Linked DNA regions of Callithrix jacchus. The protein of the gene in region 2 interacts with the protein of the main gene of each other region in a pairwise test. Links are inferred from orthologs where the notes say so. Each region holds a gene or a part of one and is shown on either strand. Other genes may lie near its edges.

What was found.
Region 1: the proteins of TRIP10 (region 2) and ARHGAP17 interact in binary tests that used the Homo sapiens proteins (3 or more experiments, as listed by UniProt). The link is inferred for Callithrix jacchus from reciprocal best matches to the Homo sapiens genes TRIP10 and ARHGAP17.
Region 3: the proteins of TRIP10 (region 2) and SH3BP1 interact in binary tests that used the Homo sapiens proteins (3 or more experiments, as listed by UniProt). The two-hybrid records come from large-scale screens. The link is inferred for Callithrix jacchus from reciprocal best matches to the Homo sapiens genes TRIP10 and SH3BP1.

Annotation. Positions count from the first base shown.
Region 1 is NC_133513.1:25,595,291-25,599,036, reverse strand, and holds the start of ARHGAP17 (rho GTPase-activating protein 17), read left to right. Parts: upstream 1-1,154; 5' UTR 1,155-1,287; coding exon 1,288-1,340; intron 1,341-3,746. UniProt on the Homo sapiens protein: Rho GTPase-activating protein involved in the maintenance of tight junction by regulating the activity of CDC42, thereby playing a central role in apical polarity of epithelial cells.
Region 2 is NC_133523.1:6,329,369-6,333,070, forward strand, and holds the start of TRIP10 (cdc42-interacting protein 4), read left to right. Parts: upstream 1-895; 5' UTR 896-1,046; coding exon 1,047-1,112; intron 1,113-1,908; exon of another isoform or gene 1,909-1,994; coding exon of another isoform or gene 1,995-2,018; intron 2,019-3,246; coding exon 3,247-3,362; intron 3,363-3,459; coding exon 3,460-3,516; intron 3,517-3,702. UniProt on the Homo sapiens protein: Required for translocation of GLUT4 to the plasma membrane in response to insulin signaling. Required to coordinate membrane tubulation with reorganization of the actin cytoskeleton during endocytosis.
Region 3 is NC_133502.1:208,649,162-208,652,071, reverse strand, and holds part of SH3BP1 (SH3 domain-binding protein 1), read right to left. Parts: intron 2,208-2,910; coding exon 2,110-2,207; intron 1,846-2,109; coding exon 1,668-1,845; intron 480-1,667; coding exon 385-479; intron 1-384. UniProt on the Homo sapiens protein: GTPase activating protein (GAP) which specifically converts GTP-bound Rho-type GTPases including RAC1 and CDC42 in their inactive GDP-bound form.

The DNA.
Region 1 (3,746 bases), on a different chromosome or scaffold from region 2:
TCAGTCTCTTTTATCCCATAGTTAGGGAACTCTTCCCCTTTTCTATGACATTTATGAGCGCATTTGAGATGTGGCTCACGAAGGAAGCCACATTGCTGCCCATATACCCCAAGGAACGGTCTGAGCTGGCGTCAAGGCCACCAAACCGGAAGACATTGCTGTGGTTCATAGAACTGAGCTGGTCCGCTCACAGAAGGGTCCAGTGCAGTCAGATCCAAGCTCAGTCTGGCCAACTTAGCAAGATGCCATCTCTAAAACAAAGGGAAAAACTTACAACCATGTGTTTCTAGTCAGCGCCTGCTCAGAGGCCCACCAAGGGCAGGGCACTGCCTGGAAATGCAGAAGCCTGGCCTGGGGCCTCACTAGGGCCAGTCTCTGGTGACCATGGGCCTCTGCTTGATCAGAAGGGCCTACTGGGTTGGCCCCCTTCCCGTCTGCATTGGTGCCTTTCCCTAGTGCCACATGCAGCCCCAGCCAACCACAAGGGCTCCAAAAGGGCAACCCCCAAATGCCTTTCCCTGACTGTGTGAGCACGTTTTAAGGAAAACACACTTTGCCCTTTATTTTCTTTTCTTTTTTTTTGAGACAGGATCTCACTCTGTTGCCCAGGCTGGAGTGCAGTAACAGTGAATCGCCTCCTTTAACCTTCCGAGTAGTTGAAATTATAGGCGCCCACCCCCACGCCCGGCTAAATTTGTATTTTTAGTAGAGACAAGGTTAACCACGTTGGCCAGGCTGCTCTCGAACTCATGACCTCAAGTAATCCGCTCGCCTTAGCTTCCCAAAGTGCTGAGACTACAGCTCTGAACCTCCGCACCCTGCCAGAAACAGATTTTCATGTGCTGAAATAAACTAGAGGGTGGCAGAGCGACACTGGTGTCGGGGAGCGGGGCGGAGAAGGACTAGCATTCTGCGACCCCGGAACCTTCTCACTCTTTGCCCGGGTCAGGTTAGGCTGTTAGCGTAGGCTCGGCTCGGTTCGGCTCGGCTCGGCTAGACTCGGCTCGGCTAGACTCGGCTCGGCTCGGCTCGGCTCGGCTCGGCTCGGCTCGGCTCGGCTCGGCTCGGCTCGGCCCGGCCCGGCTCGGCCAGGATCTGGAGGGCGGGAGGGCGGTGCCACTGGAAGTGACGCGACGAGGGCGGGGCCGCCGGCCGGGGAGCTTCAGCCTCCGCCGCCGCTGCGGTAGCTGCCGCCGCCGCTTGGGCAGGGAAGCGATGTAGTAGTTGCCAGGCTGTCTCCCGCCCTGCCCGGCCCGAGCCCCGCGGGCCGCCGCCGCCACCGCCGCCATGAAGAAGCAGTTCAACCGCATGAAGCAGCTGGCTAACCAGACAGTGGGCAGGCGAGTGCGCCGGGCCGCACGGGGGTCGCGCCGGGGCTGGGGGCGGAGGGCGGGGGAGGGGGGAACGGCTTCTCCTCTGTCCGGTGGCTCCGGACCTGGCCGCAGCCCAGCCCGCGACTAGCGGGGCCCCGGCCCGGGGGCTGTGCCGTGCTGAGGCCCGAGCTCCGCGCTCCTGGCGGCCCGCTAGTCTCCCCGCGCCGCCGGGCCCCTGAGACCTGCTGGGGCGGGCCGCCGCCACCTCGCAGGGTCCCCTGCCCATTGTCCCTGCCCCGGGAGCATCGGCCTCGGGGAGTAGACCTGGTCCTTCTCCTCCCTTCCCGGGGCCGAGCCAGCCCAGATCGCTGCCCTGGGCTCAACTCCAGTGACTTCTGTCCCTAACGCTGTGCCGAGCACTGTGCGGTGGCGGGCGGCATTCCCAGGCTTTCCGGGTGCTCCCGCTGTTGCGAGTCCTTCTCCTGTAAGTGCATGGCGGCAAAAAATGGCTAGAGGGTCAGGAAAGCCAGTCGGATTTGCTCAGTGAGTTCAGAACGCCCTTTGAGGGAATTCGGAGGTGGTGCTGTCTCAAAACGAGGGCTCCTAGGAACTGGACTGCTGCTGCCAGTTCTTGACATTTAGAAATTTGGAATTGGCAGAAAAGTATTATGGAGACACCTTGTGCCAATTTAAAAAGTCTCACTGTACGTTTGGAAACAAATGCTTCTCTTTCTTTCGTACGGCTGAAGTGCTTGACAAGAAACGTTATTGATTATTCCTTGGCAGGATAGACCAGAGTTGGTAGATCAGGTGTTCAGAACAAGAAATGATTTGTGGTTTTTGAGAGTTTCTGGAAGTGACTGTCATGTGCTGTATTATCTGGGCTAATATTTCAAGGTCTTCCAGGGCAACTGGCTGTACTGTACCAATTTAGTGTTTATTCAGCAAAGAGATATGGAAGTATGCATTTTTTACAGCTCTTTTGTTTTACTTTTCCTTTTATTCCCCCCCAGCGGTTATCTCCTCAAGTTAAAGTTTTTCTTTTTTTTTTTTTTTTTTAACAGTTAAGGGGAGTTTGGTTTGTCTGAAGCACGTGGGACACTTCTTTTTTTCTGAGTATATGAAAATACTTTTACTTCCTCTTGAGTTTTCTAAATTTGCCTTTTACTGTTTCATTTCCTCCATCTTTTTGCTTAGTTTCCTTGTTTTAATTATTTTCGATTCCCTTCCGTATTATTGTGAGAATTAATTTTCTTATCTTCAGGGTTAATCCCTGCCCTTAAAACCCAAACACACCTACTTTTCTGTTATTTGCAGGAAAATTAAAGAAATGATGCTGAGAGGAAGGTAGACGTGTAGTAAAGGGGGCTGATGTTTCAAGGAACAATTTAAAGCACATGATAATTCCTTGCGAGTTTCGTACCCTTGTTAGTGTCCTGAGCAACGTGCATTGTGGAACTAGTGTTTAGTAAGTGCCAAGATAATTTGTCAGATAGTCAGTTTGGCCTCTTTTCACATTGTTCGTGACAGGTAAGGGACATTCACTCTTTTTATACAAGGTTCTGAGATTTAAATCTACCAAGCTATTTAGGGTCTCTACCTCCTGAGTCATCTCAGAGGTTTCTCCCTTCACATGTTTTTTTTTTTTTTTTTTTTTTTTTTGAGATGGGGTCTCTCTTTGTCACCTAGGTTGGGGTGCAGTGGTGCGATCTTGACTCATTGGAGCCTTGACTTCCTTGGGCTCAAACAATCCTCCCACCTCAGCCACCCAAGTAGTTGGGACTCCAGGTGACCATCACCACACCTGCCTCATTTTTGTATTTTTTGTAGAAATGGGGTTTTGCCATGTTGCCTGGTGTTGAACTCCTGGCCTCAAGTCATCTGCCTGCCTTGGCCTCCCAAAGTGCTGGAACTACAAGTGTGAGCCATCTTGCCTGGCCCCTTCACATTTAAAATTCTGGCCATGCTTGCCTACTTTGAGTTTCCACAGGAGGTCTTGCTTTCTTACCTGTTATCATCTACTTGGAACTCCTGGAAGCCTCTCTCACCACACCTTTTCTCTAGGCACCTCCTGCTCATTCTTCAGTCTTCTAGGAAAGGTCTCTTTGCCTCTGGAAGGCCTTCTCTGATGCTTCAGCACAGATTGGATGTCTCTCCTGAGCGTTATCGTAATCCCGGGTAGCACCTGTTTTTCTGTACTGTGACTGCCTTTGTGTGTGTTCTCTATTAGATTAAACGTGTTGAAAGGCCTTGCTGTGTCTCCTTTGATTCCCAGGGTCTGCTGTGGTTTCTATTCCATGGTTAATGTACGGTGGACATTAATTCTGGTATTTGAGTTCTTAGTAGATCACCGTGATGGTACGGGCCCAAGTATGGGAAAATGTGAAGTGGATAGAGTAGATGGTGATTCATGCTAGGGCTGTCATTCTGGGC
Region 2 (3,702 bases):
CTTAACCGCCTCCCCTCTCACCCTCACCAATCGCTATAAAGATTGGCCAGGATGTGATTTAATGAGCAGTTTATCTAACCAATTATGATGGATCTGATATCCGGCCTTGAGGCTGAATTTCTCCACCCACTCTTAACGGTCCAGGACTACACTACCCAGAATGCAGTGGAAGCAGACAAGCGCAACAAGGCATTAAATAAACTACATTTCCCACTACCTCAAAGACGGACTTCCTCTTCTTGCCCTAGGGAAGTGGCTCCCAGCCAGAGCTCAGGCTTTTGGTAAACACACACATCTGTTCAGGCCTGACCTGTTTTCCTAATCTTCCTGGACCACAGAGAGGCCTAAAGCTGGCCTCAGGTTAAAGTTTGACCCTAGGATGACCTGTGACCCCAGGCTGAGACCCCAGCCTTAGGCTAAGCCTCCTATTCCGGAGTGAGGCAATTGGAGCCCCACTGCCAGATTCCAGGCTAAACTGGACTTTGGGCTGAACCCAGGTGAACTCCCTCCCTGCAGTCGAGCCCCAGCTTCAGCCTGAAACTCTGACACCCATTCGCCCCCCGCCCCCCGCCACATACTGAAGTTTAATCTCTGGTTTAGGCGACCGATCTGGACTAGTCCTGACTCCAGATTGGACCTGAACCCTGGATTGCTAATCCGTCTGGTTAGGCCTCCGACCTCAGTTTGAGACCCAATTCCCACCGTGGTGCTGGCCTGGGCTGAACCCTAACTCCAGTGTGAGTCTCTGACCAGAGTTGAGCTCAGAACTTTGCTAGGCTGAGCCCCCATTTCAGACGAGCCACTGAACTCACTGCATTCAATTGCCCAACTGTGATCTGACGTTTTCTAGCTCAGAAGCCACCAGCAGGTGGGGCCAGGTCCCAGCAGAGCCATCAGTCCCAAAGCTCTCCTCCTGGGTTTCCCCGTTATCTCTCTGTCCTGGGATCTTGGGTGCTCTGTGTAAGGGGAACGTATCCTCAAGGGCCCCCCTGCAAGATCCCCCGCCTTCTCTGTAGCTACAGAGAAAGGGCCAAAGGCTGGAGAGAATGAGGGTGGGAATCCCCGGTGTCTCCTCTTCTCTTTCATCCCAGCGCCTCAAAGGGATTTATAAGGTGCGAACAGACTTCTACGGGAGAGGTGACAAACTTCCCATCCCCTGGGCCCCAGACGTCTGGGGGAGGGGCGGAGTCGGAATCCCAGGGGCAGTACTGAGAATTCAACCAGATTCAATCTCCATGGATGAGACTGGAAAATGGGCAGATGCAGGCGCGGACTGGACCGCAGCCGAGGAAGGGCCTGGGCCTCGCATCACAAGGACAGCCCGTCCTCAGTTTCCCAGCGCAGACTCTGGGGGAGGGAAGGCAGGATGCGGTGAGGGAACTAATGGACCCGGCCTTGGCGGAGGCGCGTCCCGGGCTGGATCGAAGTCCTCATCCGCCCTGTGGCCGGAGGGACCAGACCATTAGTGGGACGAACCTAGGCGCCTGGAGCCGGGCCGGCTCGCAAGAACGGGGTGACCTCAGGATCCCCCTGCAACGGGGTTGAGGAAGGACTTTTTGGGTTTGGAGTTTTAGTGTCTTGGCCCTTTAAGGAATAATTGCGGAGAAAGGGGAAAAGGAGTTGGGAAGACGAGAGGGGTCCCGGGGACTTGGAAAAATGGGTGGGGGGTTCTTTAAGGGGTCGGTCCAGCGGCGTCGAGCGGCACCTTTGCTTTAAAAGGGGGCGGGGGATTCCGTTGAGCCCCGCCTTCTCGGGGCCCCGCCCCTGAAGCGCAGGGCTTTGGCTCCGCGCGGGCGGGGGTGTGGCAGAGCGTGCAGGGGGGCGTGGAAGAGCCTGGGGTAGGCGGGGCCGGGCGGGGTGGGGCGGGGCCGGGCGGGGTGGGGCGGGGCCAGGCGCACCGACCTCGGCAGAGTCTCCCCGGGGAGGGCGGCGGGCGGCGGGCGGCGGGGACCGGGAGCGGTGGTGGCTGCGGCGGCAGCGGCGGCGGGAGCAGCATGGATTGGGGCACTGAGCTGTGGGTAAGTTCAATCGTCCCGCCTCTAAGTTCCCCCTTGCTGGGGTCCAGGCACCCCCGCTTTTGTCCCCAGCGTATCTTAGAGGGGGACTCCGCGCCTTTCCCTTCCACCGACCCTTGGGTCCCCGCCCTCCACCCTTCGCCCTCTCCCGGAGTTTATCTGGGAGTCTCAGCACGTTCAGGGGCGAAAGGCTACTTTCCCGGACCGGCGTGGGGAAACTGAGGCACAGGGTTGAGAGTGAGAAGGGCAGAAGGAATCCTGGGGCGAGGCCGGGGCGGCTGGGAGAGGTCACCTATTTTGGGCGCCCTGGCGAAGCAGGCGGCTTATCTTACGGCCCCTGGGTCCCTGCCCGTCGTCCTCCTGTCCGGCAGGGAGGGGGGAGGGGACCCTCTGGTCACCCTCATCCCCACCCACGTGGGACCTAGAAGTCCTCTCCGCCCTTTTCCTCGCCTTTAATTAACACCTAGGGGCTGGGGACGCTCCTGGAGGGGAAGGGTGATGTTAAGCTCGACTTGACCCCCCTCTCTGGCTTCCCCCTGCTCGCCCAGGCCCAGGGCAGGACTGCCCACTGGTCGCCTCTATCCTCAGCCCTGGAAGCCCCAGAAATTTCCCCCTATCCTAGCCGGACCTCTGACCCCTCCCATTCCTGGGGGCGGTGGAATCCCTGAGTTCTTAGTGCCGCGGGGGTAACCAGACCTCCATCCCCTCCTCCAACTCTGCGATTTCTTTTGGAGGTGTAGTGGGGTCTCTGGGGGAAATTGAGTCACCTACTGGGGGATCCCGGGAGGCAGGGAGATTCAGAGAACCTGGTGCTTGCCCCCTGGCCACTCAGGGGCCCTCAGTTTGCGAGGAACCCTTCCCCTCTGGCCTAGACTCTAGCTGGGCCGGCCGGATTTTCCGGAATCCGGGGGGATTAGGGAAGCCTGAGCTGGGGGAGTGGCCCTGCCCCCTTCCACGCCCCTCTTGGTGGTCTTAAGTCGGAGACCCCCATCTCCCGGCCGGGGTGGCTGGGGCCTGGGCGCTGTTCTCCGGCCCTTCCCGGGAAGGCGAGGGGGTTCCCGCCAGTTTCCTGCCTCCCCACCGCGCCACGCCTGGGCGGCGCCGGGAAGCCACTCCTCCTAGGAGCGCAGAGCCTTGGGGTTCCCTGCGAGTCTACGGTCGGCGGGCTGTGGGGTCCCAAGATCTTGACCCGGGCCCCTCCCCCCTCCTCCCCCACCATGCCTCCTGCCAGGATCAATTCGAGGTGCTCGAGCGCCACACGCAGTGGGGTCTGGACCTGTTGGAGAGATACGTAAAGTTCGTGAAAGAACGCACCGAGGTGGAACAAGCTTACGCCAAGCAACTGCGGTGAGACCCTGGAGTGGACGCTACGGTGGGCGTGCCTGGGGCGAGGGATAGGGTGGGAGGCTGTGGGCTCAGCCCTCCTCCCTCTGTCTCCCCTTAGGAACCTGGTGAAAAAATATCTGCCCAAGAGACCTGCCAAGGATGATCCTGAGTCCAGGTAAGGGTGGAGAGGGGCTGCAGGGCCAGATTTGGTGGGGGAGGACGGAGCGTGGGTCTCCCTTCCCCTCCCGCGGCTGGGACACCCCACCGCTCATCTCACTTCCTCTCTAGAGGTGAGAGCTTGGATGTAAGATACGGGATTATCTGTGTTGGAAGCCTGAGTCCGCTACTATGTAGATGAATT
Region 3 (2,910 bases), on a different chromosome or scaffold from region 2:
CACTGTCCTTTGAAGACCCTCTCCTTCTACTGTGCTGTGCGACCTCTGGGCTTCTGGAGGGACGGGACTCCGGTGCCCCAGTACTCACGCCGGCTCCTCTTCAGTGGCCACTAGCTATGTGCCAGGACCAGGCACTTTCTGCAGCACCACTGAAGGCTCCATGCAGCCCCATAAGGTAAGTGCAGTTATTGTCCCATTACACAGAGGAGGAAGGCGAGGCTCAGACAGGTGAACTCACCTGCCCAAAGTCAAAGAGCTCAAATCTAAACTCAGAGCGCCCAGTGGCAAAACCGGGGCTTTTGATCACCTTGACTCCTGCCTCCCTGGCTGCCTAAAAAGATAGGAGGACCTGGGACTGCCTGTCCCCTCCCACAGCCAACTCACTCCTCCGAGCCATGTCCTCCACTTGGGTAGCTGTCTCCGGGGGGCTCCTGGTGACCTTGGGGGAGGCTGGTCTGGGCGGCACCTCAGACTCTGTCCTGCGGAGGGAAGGAGAGGATGAGGCAGACCTGGCCACCTCCCAGAAGCCTCATGGAATCCTGGTGAGGCTCCAGCTGCCAGGTGGAGTCTGGGTCCTCCCAGCACCCGCTCTCTACCACCTTGTGGCTGCTCCTGGGATCTGTCCCCAGGCCACACACCCCTGCCAAAGATGCTTCTGGCATTGGTAGGGGTCTGCGTCCACTGAGCTCCTGGCTGCTTTGTGACTCTGTGATGGAGTCCATGTTCCTCCAGGGACTAGGAGGGAGCCCCACCTGCCTGGGCGGTAGGACACAGGCCCTGACCTCTGCCTCAGCTCAGGGCCTCCACGTGCTTTTTCTGTGGGGGAAGGAGTCTTGTACTGTCACCCAGGCTGGAGCGCAATGGCACGATCCTGGCTCACTGCAACCTCCGCCTCCTGGGTTCATGCGATTCTCCTGCCTCAGCCTCCCAGGTAGCTGGGATTATAGGCACGCACCACCACATCTGGCTAAGTTTTTGTATTTTTTTTTTCCCCAATTTGTGTTGTCACCAATTTTTTTGTATTTTTAGTAGACACAGGGTTTCACTATGTTGGCCAGACTAGTCTGGAACTCCTGACCTCATGATAGGCCCGCCTTGGGCTCCCAACATGCTGGGATTACAGGCATGAGCCACTGTGGCTGGCCAGTCGTTTCTTTTGAGACGATTCTTGCTGTTGCCCAGGCTGGAGTGCAGTGGCATGATCTTGGCTCAACCCATCCTCTCCAAACTGGGAGATCTGGTCTTTGAGATGAAAATACTAATCAGGCAGGGCCCATGCCTATAATCCCAGCACTTTGGGAGGCCAAGGCGGGTGGATCACCTGAGGTCAGGAGTTCAAGACCAGCCTGGCCAACATGGTAAAACCCCGTCTCTACTAAAAAACACAAAATTAGCCAGGCATGCTGGCAGGTACCTGTAATGCCAGCTACTAGGGAGGCTGAGGCAGGAGAATCGCTTGAACCTGGGAGGTGGAGGTTGCAGTGAGCCTAGATTGTGCCACTGCACTCCAGCCTGGGCAACAGACTAAGACCTTGTCTCAAAAAAAAAAAAAAGACTAATCATTACATTTCCAAAAATTCAGCTTCTAGTTCTGAGACATGGGGCCTCAGGCAGGCTGTCTGTGGGACTGCCACAGGAGCCAGCCATTCATACCACTCAGTCCTCACCTTTCCTTGGTAGCCGCTAAGGCCAAGGCTGGGGCTGGAACCAGAGCTGGAGCCGGAGCTGGGGTGGTGGCTGAGGTGGGCATGGTGCTGGGTGGAAGCTCATCAGAGGTCAGCCTGTCACTGACCGTGTCCTGGAGGGTGACGGCTGAGAAGAGGCCTGACACGTTGAAGTCGATGTCTGGGGACAGGAGTAGAGATGGCTCTGAGAGACTGCGCCAGGCTCCCCTCCACCGGCTGGGCCGCCTTCCCCTCCCCTGAACCCATCTGGACCACAGTCAGCTTCCCGGCTCCCGTGCAGCCCCATTGTAGAAATGGGAAACTGAGGCTCAGATTAGAGACACAACTTCCTCCCGGCCTTAGGGTGAGTTTGTGGGGCTGCTGGGGAGGGAGCAGGGCAGAGGGAGGGCACCCTGAAGGGCATCCACTCAGACAAGAGCTTCACCTCCAGGGAAGAGGGTGTCTGCGTTCTGGATCAGCGCCTCAACTACGCCCACCACCTGGATGGAAGACACGGAGGCTGCGTCCAGCTGGGCCTGGTCCCTGGGACAAAGAGACGCATCCACTTAGCAAAGCGTTTGTGACCCCAACTCTCTGTCTGGCCCTGTGCTGGGCACTGGAGACACAAGGGTCCATCATATTAAGTCCTTGTCCTCAAAAAGCCCACAAACCACCAGTGTCACGCACATGCCAGATGTCCCCGTTCCTTTACCCTGACAGACATCACTCATTAATAAGGACCTTCTCCCTCATGGCTGTGATCTAGGCTGCCTCTACCAAGCAAATGTGATCAGCATGTGGAAGGAATCTCTGTGGCCACGTGAATAATGAGGACTCCTCACTGCACTTTGCACTTGAATTTTATTATTTCTTTTTCTTTTTTTTTGAGACAGAATCTCGCTCTGTTGCCCAGGCTGGAGGGCAGTGGCGCGATCTTGGCTCACCGCAACCTCTGCCTCCTGGGTTCAAGCGATTCTCCTGCCTCAGCCTCCCAAGTAGCTGGGATTAACAAGCGTTTGCCACCATGCCTGGCTAATTTTTTGTATTTTTAATAGAGATGGGGTTTCACCATGTTGGCCAGGCTGGTATCAAACTCCCGACCTCAGGTGATCTACCTGCCTTGGCCTCCCAAAGTGCTGGGCTTACAGCACGTGAGTCACTGCACCTGGCCTATTCATTTTTAGAGACAGGGTCTCCTTCTGTCACCCAGGCTGGAGTGCAGTGGCACTATCATGGGTCACTGCAG